2 linked regions of the Caenorhabditis elegans genome follow. The protein of the gene in region 1 interacts with the protein of each later gene in a pairwise test. Each region holds a gene or a part of one and is shown in the gene's direction. Other genes may lie near its edges.

Region 1 (8,978 bases):
AGTCAAAAAATAATTTTTTTTTGTAATTTGCCAACAAAGGTATTTAAAAAAAATTACCAAAGCAACAGGAAAAACTGCACTAATCAATTTTCAGCTAACAATTCGAATCATAATTGTCGGCTTCTCCCTTCTGATTATAGGAATTTGCTGTGTTATAGCCATAAACTACAAATGGATTCCGTCGTATAGCACGTTATTCGTCTTCTGTTTTCAAAATTTGGTGCATCTGTAAGTATCCTCCAAACAAAGGAAACTGCTTATAAATCTTAAAATTTCAGCAATCCCCTGATAGTCTGCCCAGTGTTAATACTCTCAGTGAGCCCGTGGAGCAAGGCAATCCCGTTCTTCCGGAAAGTTGATTGCATTGCTCTGAAGAGCCAACGTCCGGTTTCGTTATCCGGGCAGAATGTGGCACAGGAAACCGATTTCTATTTTAATCAGTTGCAGAACACGTGGGAGTTGAAGAATTGAGATTTTTTGATAATAAATATTTTGAACTTAATTGAAAATTTTTAGTTTTTTGAGTGCAAATTTCAACAATATTTTCAATCTTACATGAAATAACCGTCTGAAAATAAAAATTGAAAAATTATAAAGTCCCTATTTTTATCGAAAGTTTATGAAAAAAAGAATATGAAACATTATTTTTCCTACGTTACTGGTGTCCCCCGGAAACTTGTGATTTTAAAAGCCTTGGCATCTATACAGGGGTGGGCCGCGAAAGATTTTTTCCGGCAAATCAGCAGATCGGCAAATTACCGGAATTGAAAATTTCCGGCAAATCGGCAAACCGGCTAATTGCCGATTTGCCGACTTTGCTGTAAATTTTCGGCAAATTGTGGGTTTGCACATTTTTTTTTGGAAATTTAAAAATTTCAAATTTGATCGGAAAAATTGCACTCATCCTAGGAATGCTCATACATCTATTTTTAGAAGTAGACAATTCTATGAAAATATCTAAAGAAAACGGGAAAACATTTCACAAAGGCACAGTTTTAAGGGTTTCCGTCTTACATAAAATTCCTCTAAACATTTCCGACAAATTGATAACCGGAAAACGGCAAATGGGCAAATTGCCGAAATTGAAGACTTCTGGCAAATCGGCAATTTACCGAAATGAAAACATCCGGCAAACCGGCAAACCGGCAGATTGCCGGATTTGAATATTTCCGGCAAATCTGCAAACCGGCACTTTGCTGAAAATAAAAATTTCCGGCAAATCGGCGAATTGCCGGATTTGAACATTACCGGCAAATCTGCAAACCGGCACTTTGCTGAAAATAAAAATTTCCGGCAAATCGGCACATTGCCGGATTTGAACATTACCGGCAAATCTGCAAACCGGCAATTTGCCGAATTTGTCGACGAAATATTTGCCGAACGGCAATTGCCGCCTTTCCCTGGTTTATACCTCCAAAAATTGAATAATCTGCTATAAGTTATGGTGATGATTGTTATAAACACATATAATTATATAATACACAAAATAATTGGAATGTATTTTTTTAATCCTTATACATATACATATATCCATAAGCCATCCTCTTTTTATATCTAATCAGGGCTTAACTTCTCTTGCACTATTCCCCTTCAATCTTCCTCTCTCCACATAATTCTTCGTCGTCATACAATTCCCCATCATCTCCTCACTCTTTTGCCCAATTGCCCCGCCCGTAAACCAATCATCGTTCGAGTCGACGAGACACTGTGGTGAAAGAAGAGGGTCGGGGAGGTGTGACTGTGAGTTTGAGTGGGGGTGAGCGTGCGCGCATCACACACTCTCCACTGCGACTCGCATTGATTGATTTGGTCACTCGCACTTTTTTGTTTGCTGTTTTCGTTTTTTATTTTTTTAAAATTATTTTAGTGTTTTGATCGAAAATATAATGTGAAAATTAAAGTATTTAAAATTTTATTTTAAAACCATTTTGGTTAAAATTTAGTTTTCTTTTCAAATTTAGGCTACCGGTATCTAAAAGTTTTCTGCGAATTTCTGTGAGATACGAGTTTTTATTGTGAAGATCGGGCATAACTTTTTGGAGTGTCTGAAAGTTGAATTGACAGTTTTTTTTTTAGAAAAGAAACATTTCCAGAATTTTATTGATTTTTTTGTGTAAAAAATCTACCTCTACTTATTTAAAAATTTATTTTCCTTGTGTAATCATTTTTGAAACAAAATCCCAAGTACCATACACCCCCCCCCCCCCCCCCCACTATACGAGCAATCGCGCTCCATCACGAATCTTGACGCTCCCCTCTCAGCGGGAGATTGTTTTATTGAATTTCACTGCAACATACATTTAAATTAATTTTTTCAAAAGAAATGAGTTCAAACTTGACCAGTAATGAGATGTCATCAACATCTGCAATTGTAGAGCCCCCGGAGGCTGTGAAGGGAAATGAAAGGGATAAGGTATAGTTTACAAATTTTTAAAAATAAAAATAATCGTTTCTCCACTACTTTTACACAAAACAAATGATTTATACCCAGCTCAATATTTTTTTAAACTATTTTTTATATTTTATCAAATGTTGCCCAGTTATTTTCCAATGAGATATAGGGGTTAAAAAAAAAGAAACAAATTTAGTAATTATCAACTTCAAAACCCTCTAACTTGCCGGAAAATAGAGATATGGAAAAATTGTTAACTAACACTTTGGAGTACCAAAATTTATCTACATTTTATTAGTTGACAATTTTTTGATAGCTAACCGTCCCAATAAGTTACAATAGTTTTAAAACTTTCAGTCCACTCGACGATCGACATCTCAAGTGGTTCGACCGGAAAAGCACGAAGTTGAAAATGCATTGGAAGGTGAGTATTTTTCAAATATATTATAGAAAAATTAATAATTGCAATTTTGGTGCTCAAGTTATAATATAAACTCCGTTTTGGCAAATTGCCAATTTTCAAAAAACCCCAATTTCCGAATTTCTCGGAAATTTACCAAAATTTTGTAGTTTTTTAAAGCTCTACTAGACCTTCAATTTTTGAAACTTGCTTACAATTAGTGAAAATAATAATTTTTCAGATCAATGCTCATCAAGCAGCTTACCAAAAGAAGCTCAATATTATGCAAAACTCGACAAAAAGCTAGAGGGCAAAGACCCCCGATCTCAGTTCTACGAAGCGGTACGCCTGTCCGCCGACATTTTTGCTCATAAATTCGAAAAAGCCGTGTGCTCCCGCCAAACGTTCGAGCCGACCAACTCCATCATCAAAGTGCTCAACACTGCCGAGGAGGAGATGCTCCACGAGAAGGTTGTCCCACTACCAGTCAGCTCAAAGCTCCAATACTATCTCAACCGGGGACGTTATGATACGATATTCGATCGTGATGAGCAATTGCAAAGGACTGCTGACCCGATGGCCGACGAGCCGGATCATGTGGAGAAGCGGGTGACGAGCATTTTGGAGCAAGCTTCTCGAGAGATGGAAGAAGGGGAAGTCGAGCCGGTGTTCTATGATGGATCTGATGAGGATCAGGAACTTCCGATTGATCTAGGAGCTATGAGAAATCTGCAAAGGTAGGCACTAGAGCTTCAGAACAAAAAATTAATTAGCAAATATATTATTCCCAAAAGCAAAAAGCCCAAAAAGCGCATACATTTAACCAATTTGTGGGTGGTTTTTTATACGCATAAAGCTACGTTCAGGCCGTTTTTCAGGCCGTTTTCAGGCGTTTAGAATTCTTGAACTAAGAAAAAAAATAGATATTAAAGAATGTCGTGGGATGATTGTTAATGATAACAAAACTCAATATTGCAATATGAAACGGACAATAAGCAATATCTGAGTCATGGCGGAAGGGAAAAAAGTGCGATATTTCGCACAACTATCATATGGCCTGGCTTCCAGATTTTGATCATATCAGTCTTTTCCGTGGTCTCATTACGGTTTGATCTACAAAAAATGTAGGAATTTTTTGCTCAAAAATATGTGACGTCAGCACGTTCTTAACGATACAAAATCGGTTGAGAACTCTGCGTCTCTTCTCCCGCATTTTTTGTAGATCTACGTAGATCAAAGTCTTTGAAATTTTTGAGCTTAAATTTCCCTACACTTTATCAAGATAACAAACGCGCCCTATTGCCAACTTCTCGCACACCGACGCCGCCAAGTTTGAAGGTGATAGGGGGGGAGAGTGAGAGGGTGCCAGAGATTCATGTAAACATGGAACGATGTATGTTTTCCCAGCAGTGTGTGACCTTGTGTGTATGTTTTTTGTCGCGCGTTATATCAATTTTTGTTAGCAATGTTTCAATTTTCTGTGATAACAATCAATCAACTGTTTTCAGAACCAACAAGTTCGCGGCTCGCTCGAGCAGAATGGCAGCTCGGAGGGGAGGACGGCCCGGCTATCGTGGTGCTTTCAGAGGTGCAGCTCGCGGAGCACCTTCTAGAAGACCTGCACCAGCTGCAGAGGTGGCTCCAGAGACTCCAGTAGCGGCTCCGATGGCTCCAGCGGCTCCAGCAGCTCCTGCAACACCTGAAGCAGCTCCGGCAGCAGAAGTTATGGACACATCAATTGCCACAGAGATGCCTCAAGAGTCGGCTGTGGATCTGTCAAATGTGTCGGCGGCTACCGAGATGGATACATCTAAAGAAGGAGAAGCGTCCAGACCGACTAGCGAGAAAAAAAAGGTAAGCTTTTTGAAGGCTCGTATCTCGGACGGTTTTTGTTTTTTCGAAAAATTCTTAACTAACAAAATAATTACCGCATTTTTTTACAATTTCGTAGTTGAGTATTTGTTGATAACTTAAATTGGAGCAATTTATAAGCTTTACTTTGGCAACTCGTAACTGAATCTCTAATGCATATTTTCTATTTATTTTTTATTTTAAATTATAGAAAAATTAATTCTAAACATTTTTGCAGTTTTCAAAATTTTTATAAGACAAAAACCAATTGAGATATAAACTTTCAAAGCTGAAATTTGCTCTAAAAATTGAAAAAAGGTTCTAAAAAAAAGGTTCGTGAACAAATTAAAATTTTTTCTCAAAGTTTCAGAAAATCCGCACAACCGAAATGGACCGTCTTATGAGCATGGACTTGGGACCCAAGGATGGTGGCCGAGTCGGCGAACTCGGCCACATGTGGCCCGAATCACGCCGTCGTCCTGCTGCACCCCTACCAGAGACACCTGCTGCTCAACCGAGAAAGTCTCTGCCAAGGCGAGCCGCCGAGAAGAAGAAGCCTGAAGATTCGGACGCCGCTGAGGAGCAGGAGGTTGAGATGGAGGTGGATAACGACGCGAGCACATCTACTCCAAGAAATGCACGTGGAGGTAGAGGTGGTGGCAATAGACGAGGATCGAGAAGAGGTCAGAAGAGGACATCTGGAGGATCGGGGAAGCTCGTGGAGCCAAAGAAAGAGCCGGTCGACGAGCCAGCCGAGAAAATCCCAAAAAGATCCGAGGCAGCTCCAGAAGTTCCAGCTACTGCCACAACCAAAGAAGCCCCACCATCCACCTCCAGCTCCCCACCGGATGCTCCAGCTACCCCAGCCACTCCAGCTTCATCCGACTCTCGGGATTCCCCACGAAAGATCCGGGCGATGATTTTCTCGCTTACCGGATCCCCACCAGAGTCTGAAACTCCGCCAGTTCTGCAGCAAGAGCAGGTGATCTCCACAGCAGCACCGACAGCCGGTCGCCATCCAAACATCATTCAGCAGGTCCCGCACATCAATCGGATCCCGCCACAACCGCTGAGACGTCTCACAGCTCCTCAGGCTCCACCAGCATCCCAGCCAGAAGAGCCTCCAGTTCAGCAGACTGTTCCGGTGGTTAAAGTCGAATTGGCTTCAGCTCCAGCTCCAATCGTCAGGGATCCACAGTCAACGGAGCCAGTTCCACCTGCGATGCCTACACTTGTCGAGGTAACCATTTTCAGAATATGACGACTAATTTTTAATTACAATTTTCTTCAGAACAACCACGAAGCTACGCTCATTTTGCCGCCCAACAAGACATCAGACTACACAAGGTGGAACGTAAGTTTTTTAAGGCTCAGGCTTAGGCTTAGGCTTAGGTGTAGGCTTAGGCTTAGGCGTAGGCTTAGGCTCTGGTTTGGGCTTAGGTTTCAGCTTAAGCATAGGCTCAGGCTCAAGTTCAGGTTCAGATCTAGGCTTAGGCTTAGGCTTAGTATTAGGCATAGGTTAGCCTTAGGCTCTCTCTCTCTCTCAGGTTTAGGCTCTGGTTTAAGCATAGGTTCAGGCTTAGTCTCAGGCTTAGCCTGAGGCTTAAGCGTAGGCTTAGACTTTTGGCTTAGGCTTAAGCTCAGGTTTAGGTTTTGGCTTAGACTTTGGCTCAGGCTTAAGCTCAGGTTTAGACTTAGGCTCAGGCTTAGACCTAGGCTTAGGCTCAGCATTAGGCTTAGGCTTAGGTTTAGGCTTAAGCTTAGGCTTAGGCTTAGGCTTAGGCTCAGGTTTAAGCATAGGTTCAGGCTTAGGCTCAGGCTTAGGCTCTGGATTTCGACTTAACACATTCTAAAACAATTATGCTTCAGGCGCAAGATCTCATCAACTGGGTTCGGCTTCTCATCACCAACAACGTGGATTCCACTATTGCAATTATGGTTCGCGAGGAGTTTGACGGAGAAACGCTGGCCTGTCTTGTGTTGGACGATGATTTTCGAAAAGAGGTACCAATTCCATATGGTCATTATAAGAAGATGAAGATCTATGGGACTGAGGTGCTCAACCATTATCGTACGGAAAAGTATCAAGCTGATTTGAGAAAGTTCCATGAGGAGTTGGCTGCCTGGAAGGCTCAGCAGCGTTAACTCTGTTAATTTTTTTATGTTAATTTTAATGTTAAAATTAATATTTTTGTTGTTTTTTCTGACATTTCAAGCTCTTGCATATTGACTCCTACCGCTTTACCCATTCCTCGTTACCTAATTTGGACCTACTTAGATGATAGAAAACTTTCAGCAGTTTTCTAATTTTTAATAATTTTAATTTTTTGTAAGTTGATTGCAATTTCTTTAACTATTAAATTCCCCTTTGATACTCACAGAGACATGTTTTATATTCTATAATCAATCGATTTTTGTCATAATACCCGTTTTACCCTTATTTTTTCTGTTCACGTTTGCCCTCATGATTAAATGTTTTTCGAGTTTTTTAAATGTTAATGACATTTTGTATATGAAAAGTTAAAAAATATTCATTTCTGGTTTCCACAAAGCGAACGATACACAAAAATGTTAAAGAACGCTGTGAATGCAATGAAAAATGTGAGATTTTTAATTAAAAAATCTCTTACCGGCTGAGCACACGTGGCTCAGTGGGTAACAGGCTTGACTGGCAAGCAGGAGGCCACTGGTTCAAGTCCACCGACCTCCACCGACGTCAGGAATCGAACCTGTGATCTTTTCCCTTAAAGCTGAGCCTCTTACCGGCTGAGCCACTGGCCGCACAGCACCGCAAAAAATTGTCGGCATGGCTCAGTGGGTAACGAGCTTGACTTGCAAACAGAAGGCCACTGGTTCGAGTCCTTGAACTGAAGTAAACATTTTCAGATCGGAAAATCTCGATCGAGAAGTGCAAGTCGCGAGAAGGTGCTCAAAGACTCGGCCGTACAAGCTTCACCATCATCCCGTGAAGCCGTCCAAGTCGTCAAGGCAATCGCCCAACCAGTCGTCGAACAAAAATAAATATTCTCACGTTTTTTATTACTCTAAAAGAAAATGGGTTCACAGGGCTATCAGTAGAGCGCATATCAGATTTTTGGTCGAAATTTGAGAGAGATTTGTACTCGGGATAACGGGCACAACGGGTAGGGTGGTAGGATATGGAATAAATATTTTGTTGGAACTGTACAAGAAGGGGCTAGAATCAGAGGAAAAAAAAACATTTTAAAAGCAATAGAAAACCAAAGAAATCCCGTTTTGAAGTGGAGAGAAGGAGTTTAAAGGCAGCAAGTTAAAAATTTTCAGAAGAGGGTGCAGTATATCGTATGAAAGTCATGAAGGATTGACTCTCCGGTTCGACTATTCACATTTTTTGAAGGTTTTTGAAGTATCTTCCAATGTTGAATGTCGTATCGGACTGGAATAGATTAATTGAGTTTCTGGAGTTTATTGAATCCTGCAATTCTTTTTCTTCTTCAGCTTGATCGGTGATTCGAGCTTCCGATCGTCATGGGGGTGGATGGGCATGCGCTCGTCATGTTGGTATTTTCTGAAATTTCGAGATTTTAAGTATGAAATTCAAACTCAGCGCGTTGAAAAACCTATAAACCTATAAACGACCTCGAGAACTCGAACCTGTGACCTTCTGCTTAGCAGCCAAACCTCTTACCCACTGAGCCACGCACGCAAAAGTTTCATCTGAAACTCGAGCATGGCTCAGTCGGTAAGAGGATGGGGTTTGAGACAAAGGGTCGCGGGTTCGAGCCCGCTAGCCCCAGTTGGGGATTTTTAATTAATTTTTTTCAAATTTCTTACCTGACTAATCTCACAATATCAAAAAACGCTTCATCAACATTTTTTCGAATTTTTGCCGAGCACTCCAAATATGGTATTGAGAGTCGGTGTGCGAGCTCCTCGGCTTCATGTCGGGCTACCTGAAATTCGAGGTTTTATTCGATAATTTTTTATGGGAAATTTAACATATTCAGTGTAAAAAACCTAATAGCCATTCTGGGGGGTCGAACCGTGACCTTTTGCTCCAAAGGCAAGCCTCTTACCGGCTGAGCTATGCAGCGCAGCGCGCATGGCTCAGCCGGTAAGTGGCTCGCCACTGAATCCGAAGCCATGGATTCGAGCCCAAAAAACTCTGCTTAAATTTTAAAATTTTAAAACTTTAAAACCCCTTCAATGCGAAATCCGACACAGATGTTTTGAATTGCAAACGTTTTTCGTGAGACTCACACACACATATGTTTCGAGTGTTTTGTGCATGTTTCAATGTTTCAAGTGCTCTCTTGAAAGTTCTAAAGACACCCTCCAATATTTGTTTTCGATAAA
Region 2 (8,604 bases), on another chromosome or scaffold:
GAAATACAAATTCTCTTGGGGCAAGTGCAAAACTACAATTAGGCGACATTTTGTTATTAATCATACCTTAAGTACGCAACTAAACAATTTCTGACACGATACAACAGATCATAAGCTCATCTTAACTTCTGCTCTTCAAATATCCAGTTTCCCTATCCTCTTCATCTTCACCCCCCTCCCCCCTCCCCTTCCCAAATTTTTTTTTCTTCTATTATTTGTATTTGTCTTCTATTTTTTGTTGTTTTTATATTTATGTAATTGGTTTTCATCACGTATCCGAGAGAGCGTAATAAATAAATAAATAAAACGCTTTCCAATTGTCTTTTGTAGACAGAAATAAAATTGATATAGTCTCCAGAGTGAGGATATGTGCATTTTACCAAGTGGTGACCGGAGGGACACTTGTGAAAACAAGCTACCGTAGTCTTTACAATTGGTTCTCTTCCAAAAGGTCAAAATATCTATCATCTAACTTGGACCTGGTTAATCAAATGTTCTAACTCATATCTTTGTAAATAAATCAAACAATGATTCTGCACAACACTATGGAAAAGCGAATGGCAATTCTTGAACTGTAATTTAAAAGCAGTTATGACAATTAATATAAAATACTCTTCCAAATTTTCTTCTTCAAAGACATCCAGTTCAGAAGAGCTGAAACCTAAAACATACATTCCAGCTTATTACCAGCCACCAGTTTCTATGCCTAAATACTACGTTAACTGGTTGAGAATAAAGTTATCCTTGAATAAACTCAAAGTTAGTTTCTTTGATATTGGTTACCAAGTTGTAACGTATATCGTGCTCTCTTCATCATATCAAACATCATTCAATCTCTCAACGTCATTTACTGATATCGGACACCCGATGAGTCAATTGTTTACGTTTCCCGTCGTAATGAATAATCTTCAGAAGTTAATCTACCGTACTTGTACAGTAAGGGAAAAGTTGCCGATTGCCAACATTTTTTGATGTTCGGCAACTTTGGAAATTGACAATACCAATTTGAAATTTTATTTTATTATGAAAAATATATTCAGAGAGCCTGAAAGAAGCGAACCTTTTTCTCATATTATTTTTCAGAATATAAGGGCAATATATTTGTTTGACCAATGCCAAAACTTTAACCAGTATCAGGAAAGTAGCCGAAAGTTTTCAGCTGGTCAAGTTAGGTAACTTCCGGTTGTTGTCCATTCCTACTATATTTAGTTGTTCCATAAATTGTATTTTCTAAGATTTACTAATTGCTAGATCTTAAGACTTTGCCTCCATTTTGGAGCTGCTCTTTAATCAAAATCAAAAATTTCCAGCTCATTAACTCCATGGTACTCCAATTTCAGTAATTATTCTACAGTAATCCTCCGGATGAAGGACACGTCTCTTCCGCCACTTGAAAACCCATCAAACGGGGGAACATATCTCTTTAACCTAATTACCGTATTCCCCTCCATTGCGCTTTCATTCAATTATTCGTGGCGGGGGGACACTGGGCCGTCCATCTCGATTTTCTCTTTCTCTCTCTCTGTTCTTTTTTTTTCTCTTTTCCCTCAACATAAAAATATATGCGCGCGCGCCTGGTGCCGTCCTTTCCGCCGCTCTCTTTCTTTTTCTCTTCGTTTCGTAAGCATCTATTTACACATATACACACTCACTCACACACACACATAAACCGAAACGAGAGAAAGATGAAAATAGTGTTGTGCTAGAGAGATAAAATGGGCGGAGTCAACGAATACGGTATCTCGCACCCTCTGCTTAATTGTTTACGTCCCGCCGTCGCTGACAGCTTTTAGAGGATCCTTCAGTATACACACACACACACACACACACACTCACACACTCACACACGAGCATATAATTCTATGATTGATCGATTTGGCGGCAAGTTCCACAGCGGGCTCCGAGAGCACCACAGGGTCCGATGAGAAGACTGCTCTCTTCATTTCACCCACTGTCTAACTTCCAGTGTTGTCTCTTGAATGTGTCATTCAAGAAAGCGCACACACCCTCGTTCACTCTTTTTCTCTGCATCTCTTGTCCTCATCTCTCTTTGTCGATAGTCGTTAAATGCGATGGAAGGCAGGCGAAAAGGATTACTGTATCTCTGACACTACCCACCCCGCCCTTTCGTGAAAGGCTCAACAACAAGGAGGCGTGTCGATGGCCTCCGATTGGTCGATGCAGAATTAGTTGTGTATCTGCCTCATTTCTCTAGACCCTCTTGTTTCCAAGGAATATTTCTCTGTGACTGCCTTTCTGCAGATTCTCTTGCCCCTTGTGTTTCGTTCTGTAGCCAGTCCTCTTCTCCTTTCTCCCCTTCCTTCGTCTGTCCATTTTCCAAACTTTGTTCTCTCCTGTCCATATAGTTTTTCAGTTGTTAAGATGAAAAAGTATAGTTGCATGATATCTAATCAATGTATGACCCCATCATGACTTGTACTTTTACTGTAACAATTGAATTATTGATTTTTCTGAAGGCGGCGGTGGCGGCGGCGGCCAGTTAGGAAACATGCTAAATTTCTATTTTGATTGATGTTGGTAAGTTTCGGATAAATGTTTAATTCTCTTTTCACAATTTCTCATGCATCTTCATACTTTCCTTTGTGCTTCACCTTCTGAAAAGCTGTGACCCGCATGTGCCCATCTTTATAATTATAAATTTTCGTTTTTTTTTCATTAAGTTCTCTTTTTCTAATAAACAAAACATCAGTCACTACTGACGCCAGAGCTGACATCATAAAAAACATAGAGTGATTTGTGTATTTTTTGATATATCCTTTTTCCAAAACTCAAATAATTTAATATCTAGATTTTTTTAAATTTGATTTTATATGTTTTTTTTTGAATTTTGGAAGATATTCTCGTAAAATTCGTCAATTTTGCAAATTTCAGTTTTTTTTAACTTTCAAAACGCTTATTCCTGAAAAATTTGTAATTCTTTCTCATAAGTGTTAAGTGTTTATTGTTCCGAAGTAGCATCTATGTTTAGAGTTTTCCCTCTTCTTCTGATCTACAGTATGGAAAAAAAATTGGCGAAATTTCTGGAGATCAAATGAAGAGGGCGCTCACAGACTACCCGTGAAATTTAGCTGATAACTTTTAGCTGAACATTTCAAAGAGCATATGTTTGACCTCCAAATATTGCGCTTTTAAATTTGGAAGATGTTCTCCTTAATCGTTTCTAAAAGGTTTCTGAGCTTTTAAGAAAATGATGTTATCTCTATCTTGATCAAAATCTTACTGAAAAGAGCAACAATATTAGTGTTTGCATACTGATTACGGTGTACACTTCTCTCAGCGGCGCCCTTTGAATTCTTTTTTGTCTCTCGTTCATAACTACGACTTGTTCTCACCGTTCCGACTTGAAACCCCATAAACCGCGAGAAAAGAATCCAATAAATAAGTGATGAAGAGGGATTTCTTTCTCTTTTTCTCTGCTCCCTTACACTGTCTAATCCGTCCCCCCTCCATCCTTAAATCTCCCAAATGGATTCGTTTTCTTTTTCACCGTTCTGATGTAATCCTTCGTATAATCTTTCTCTCGCTCACTTCAACAGAAGAATTTTCAGATAATGTCGAGTGAACCTGCGTCTTCGTCTACAGAAAAAGTCCCGGAGGAGCCACATCCACACTCTATCAAGCACAAATTTCAAGGGCCACAATTTGTGATCCCCCGAGCATTGAGCGATTACGTGTTGAATGTGAACAATCAGACTCCTGAATCTTATGAGTAAGCTTTACAATTTTACTTTTTTTTGTAGCCTAAGAAATTGTAGTTTTCTATTATTATTGGTCTGCCAAAATATATGTGCAAATAAAAAAAAACGATTTTAGAGTTAGTTGAACCTTTAAATATAAGTTTATTGAGATAGAACATAAAAAATTGCAGAAACATACATGAAGATAAGATTTAGAAAAATAACTTTAATTTCCCAATTTCCAGAAAAGCACTGAACGCCAAATATGGAAGAGATGACTACATCACCTTATGCCTCCACGTCACAAGTCTTTGCACAGAATATGGCCCACTTGATGACGGGCCTGAATATGTACTTCTTTGTGATTCACGAGCTCGTGTTGACAAGCTGATCGAGGATCTCGTCAAGTTGTTAGAGATCGACACAGACTACGTACAACTAGAGTTGCATGGTGGAAAGCGCCTTCATCTTCAGAAACCCGATGCAGTTCTCCGTGATATTGCATATAAACAGAGCAACGAGGGATCTGACAAGTTCTTTTTGGAGATGAAGCTTGTGCCTTCGGAGTCAATGAAAGCGAAAATTATGAAGCAAGAGGAAGAAGAAGAGAAAGCAAGAAAACATGGGCAATATCAACAATATCAAGAGTATCACCAACAACATCAAGCAATGAATGATGGACAAAGTAGCTCGAGTGTACCTTCAACTAGCTCTCCGTCATGCTCCAGTGAGGCAAATCGGAAGGAAATGGAAACAGTGCGTGAACCAGCTGGACCGTCAGAATTGATGAGGGCTATAAATGCTCCAGTTGCTCCTGCCCCGGTTGTAATCAAGATTGAAACTCCTGTTGCATTGCCAGAAGAAGATGAAACACTGATGGATGATGATGAAATGCCTTCGCTAACTGTAGAAGCACCAAGTGAAGAAGCTTCATTTGAAGCTGAACAACCTTCTCCACAAGTCCCACAAGCCTCAATTGAGGGACCATCTCAACAGCAACAAATTCCTGGAACTTCTCAACAGAAAAGACAAGTTGCTCGTGGATCTCGTACTAATATGATTTCCTATCATGATTTACCACCTGGCACTGGAAATGCTCCTCCGATGGCTTGTCCTCAAGTTACACTCAAACTTGAAAAAAATGTTCCATTTGAAGCGAAAATCCGTGCAGTTGCTGGGTACACTCGAAAACCAATTTCTGAAGTTCAAAAAATGAGACCGAGTGATCTGGAGAGCATCTTCCATTCGATCTGCATTGCCAGCGTTCAAAGAATAAAGAGAAGAAATGAACTTGTTCAACAGCTACAGGAAATCAATGCCCAATCTTGTAAAAGTCCGACAATGACTATGAACAAGAAGTTCACATTGGCAAAGGCGTATCAAAGGGTCCAGAATGAAATTGAAAAAATTGATCGAGAGCAAATACTTCCTCAACAGTACATGAACATGCCACCAATGCCACCACAAGGACAGCAAAGATTGCCTCCACCAGCATATCCACCTGGTATTCTGCCACCACAACAGGTAGGTTTTCAGAAACCTGGAAAATTAGTTCAATTTTTTATACTTTAATTTCCAGAATCGTCAACAAGGCGTACCTCCACAATTCCAACGTTCACCGCAATTTATGATTGGACCAGATGGACAGCGTTATGCACATCCATATATGCAACTTCCAAATTCAAACCAAAGAGCTCGAATTCTGAATACTTCATCTGTGCAGCCGTCTGAAGAAGTACGCAATCGCCTCGTGAAGATTGAAGCAATGGCGATGAATATGGCACAACTGAACCCACCTCGACCACCTCCTCCACAGCCACCACATCGAGCTCTCCAAGGAGAACTGCAGTTTTTGAGACCTGGAGCACCGGATCCGTGCAACTTTAGGCCAGATTCTAAGCAGACATATAACAATACATATGTGACTGTTGCATCACCAGCGACGCTCACCAATTCAATCATTCCATGGCACTTCCCGCCATATGAAAAATCAGGAGTAAGTTATACTCTTAAATTTAATAAATCTTCAATAATAGGCAAGCACGGTTTCAAATCTTTGTGCCTGCCTACCGCCTATGTAGATTGTTAAAATTGATGTTTCTGGCAGGAAATCTTACCCTTGAGAATTGCTTTTGACATCAAACTCATTATTTTGGTTGATTTTTTAAAGAGATAGTTAAACATCTATTAAGGTGAAGTTGTAGTAGTTTGAACACGTATCAAAGTCTTGAATTCCTCAAAAGCCCTTAAGTTTTTCAAAAATTCTCACTTTATCAAAACTTTGACAGAGTATTTTTGGTCAAGCTGAATAGTTTGACATGCATTCAATCAAAATTCATTCATTCAACAAACTTACTACTTCACCTTCAATGAATTCTCAGTAAATGCAGGGTTTCGTATAAGTGCCAGTTTTGTTCAAAATCATTGATAAAGTTTCAAAATTAAATTAAAGTTTTCAGAGATTGAATGTGAGCAACACAATAAAAGCTATCAACGAGTATCGTCTTCTGTGCAATTCTCGACAGGCTGATCCAGCAAGTTTCCTCGAATTCTACTTCCTTGGTGATCCAATGCCACACTTCAATAAAATTCTTTCAATTGCTGATTACAATATGTATTTGTCTCGAAGACGATGCGATGAGGCAGATGTCAAGATTCATCGAATGTCGCACAGTGATCAATTGCAATTGTACCTTTTGGAACTTCAATCCGACGAGTCAAATGTGGAAAAATGGAAGACATTCTATAGAATTATGCAGTGGGATTTGCCACTAAACAATGAGTTTCCAAGAATACTTCTACCATCTTCATTAGACATCGGAAGACCAGTTGTTGATAGAAAGAAGAAATCAATTGATCAGGTTATGAATCATATACATCGAATGCATAGTCAACGCCCACCAAGCATGGGAAACTCTTCCACATCTTCTGAAGCTTCATCTACCAGTCCAACAAATGCTGCAACAGCGACCAGTTCTCCAGCATCGGTATGTTAATTTTCTAGGAATTTTGGAATTATTTTAAATTCAACTTTTTACAGAACCGACCAACGACTTCTACAGCACAACCACCAACTTTAAATCCAACATAAATTTTAATTCAATATAAATTTGTAAATAATTATGTTTGTTACCAAACCATATTTTGTGTACCTCTTCCGTTTTTTTCCTCTGTCGGGTTTTTGCTTTTGTCTTATTTTTTACGCTTCTAGTAGTAGTGATCTTAAAACTTTGCTCTCATTTACCTATTTTTAGATGAGTTAGTTTCTTTTTTTGTCTGTTTTACACAATCATCACACAATAAACATTTTATTTGGAGAATCGTTATGCGAAGCGTCTGAAAACAAGAACAGTATTTAAGAAAGCAAGTAGCAATGAAGCAATTTTATAATTGGACCAGCACCAATATACTTTCAACCGGATGGTTGTGAAAATTTAAATTTTGAACTACCGCGCCAATCAGAATGTTTCCACCAATAACCAACTAAGCACGCAAAAAAGTTTCTTTTTTCAATTTGTCGATTTTTTGGTTACTACGAATTGATCGATATAATACAATAATTCCAAAAATATTGGCAGATCACATAAAATCCGCAGATTCATAAAATCTGTGTACTTCCTTTTGTAGATAGCACACGTTGATTTGTCAATCCAGATAATTTATAACTAAGCTTACAGAAGTTAGCAGTAGTATTTCATTTATTCCCAGATCCCTAATTCTGATAGTCAGCAAAAATTGGTAAACTTTTTTTTGGCAAAACTTAAATTCTTATACAATCTTGCAGAACAAACTTTTCATTAGAATTTTCAGGTAACGTCGATCAACTTGAACATTTTGCTATTGTGGTTAACCAATAGGATCTGCATAGGAAGATATTGCTTGTTGAGAAATTACTTGCACAAACTGTTCAACTAGCTAAAGTTTGTGGAACAATTGATAAATTTTATGGATATGACGTTTTAACGGATTGCCAAACTAATCGATATGTGATACATTTGAATAAACTTAAACTCTAAAATTCTAAAGTTTTAAGCTACACCGATATTACTATAGTGCGAGGACGTGCTAATAGTAAGTTGTGGTAAATATTTTAAGAATTCTTTTGATGTGGCAGCTGTGAAACAGACAACAATGAATATCCAACTAGTTAAATCTACAATTTCAATATTTGTAATCATTCTTGGATTGGTCAGAGACCCACATTGTTTGAGATTCTTTCAATATCAAAAGTAGCAAAATATTAGTCGGAAATTTTCATTAAAAAATCAATACATGTATAAAGTTTTCACTCAAAAGGACCAGGCAATTTGATGCCATTTTCCCTGTTGAAATTCTTAGTAGTGTGTAAAGTTAAAACTACCGATAAAATCTGGTTGAAAACTAAATCTTCTTGGAATATTCAATAAAAAGTCAAACGAAACAAAAGTAGTTGAATTATAGATTCAAGACTATTCCGAAATGTTTTGAATCATAAAGTCATAATTGCTACAATTATTTAATTATACGTTTTTGGGCGTCTTATTTTATTTTTAAAATTTGATATCTGAAATCTCATATTTTGTTTGTTCAACATGTGATGTTTCTCAGAGCCTTTGGGCATTCTATAGATGCTTTCGTACGAGAAGTAATGATAGCGTCAGAAAAATCGGGATTGATATCAAGAATTTGTTCAGTAAGTGGCAATCAAAAAATATTTGGCTCAACTGTGACTCAGATAACATACCGTACTTTTATCGCCCGGCATAAATTGTAAAATATTCCTATAGATTGAATACGGTATTATCCGCATGACAGAAGTATGCGCGTAAAATGTAGTATCAACTTTAGATGTCTTCGGAATAACATCATGTCTTTGAAAGAGCTTTTTCCATAAGTACAGTAATCCCATTACGTTTCTTACAGTCAA

Evidence for each region. Proteins that work in one complex are often made in the same cells at the same time.
Region 2: the proteins of sop-2 (region 1) and sor-1 interact in binary tests that used the Caenorhabditis elegans proteins (3 or more experiments, as listed by UniProt).

The regions. Positions count from the first base shown.
Region 1 is NC_003280.10:12,337,623-12,346,600, forward strand, and holds sop-2 (Polycomb protein sop-2), read left to right. Parts: upstream 1-2,321; 5' UTR 2,322-2,323; coding exon 2,324-2,413; intron 2,414-2,749; coding exon 2,750-2,816; intron 2,817-3,033; coding exon 3,034-3,529; intron 3,530-4,300; coding exon 4,301-4,646; intron 4,647-5,007; coding exon 5,008-5,883; intron 5,884-5,934; coding exon 5,935-5,997; intron 5,998-6,012; exon of another isoform or gene 6,013-6,066; intron 6,067-6,512; coding exon 6,513-6,788; 3' UTR 6,789-7,173; downstream 7,174-8,978. Other genes in the region: sre-52 (Serpentine Receptor, class E (epsilon)), read left to right, coding at 95-228, 279-471; C44C11.6 (Transcriptional regulator), read left to right, coding at 7,212-7,244, 7,530-7,664; ras-1 (R-RAS related), read right to left, coding at 8,088-8,190, 8,457-8,575. UniProt on the Caenorhabditis elegans protein: Polycomb group (PcG) protein. PcG proteins act by forming multiprotein complexes, which are required to maintain the transcriptionally repressive state of homeotic genes throughout development.
Region 2 is NC_003281.10:8,415,636-8,424,239, forward strand, and holds sor-1 (Sop-2-related protein 1), read left to right. Parts: upstream 1-2,532; coding exon 2,533-2,538; intron 2,539-3,569; coding exon 3,570-3,730; intron 3,731-3,943; coding exon 3,944-5,222; intron 5,223-5,277; coding exon 5,278-5,694; intron 5,695-6,157; coding exon 6,158-6,685; intron 6,686-6,738; coding exon 6,739-6,789; 3' UTR 6,790-7,019; downstream 7,020-8,604. UniProt on the Caenorhabditis elegans protein: Acts synergistically with sop-2 to maintain the transcriptionally repressive state of homeotic genes throughout development. Not required to initiate repression, but to maintain it during later stages of development.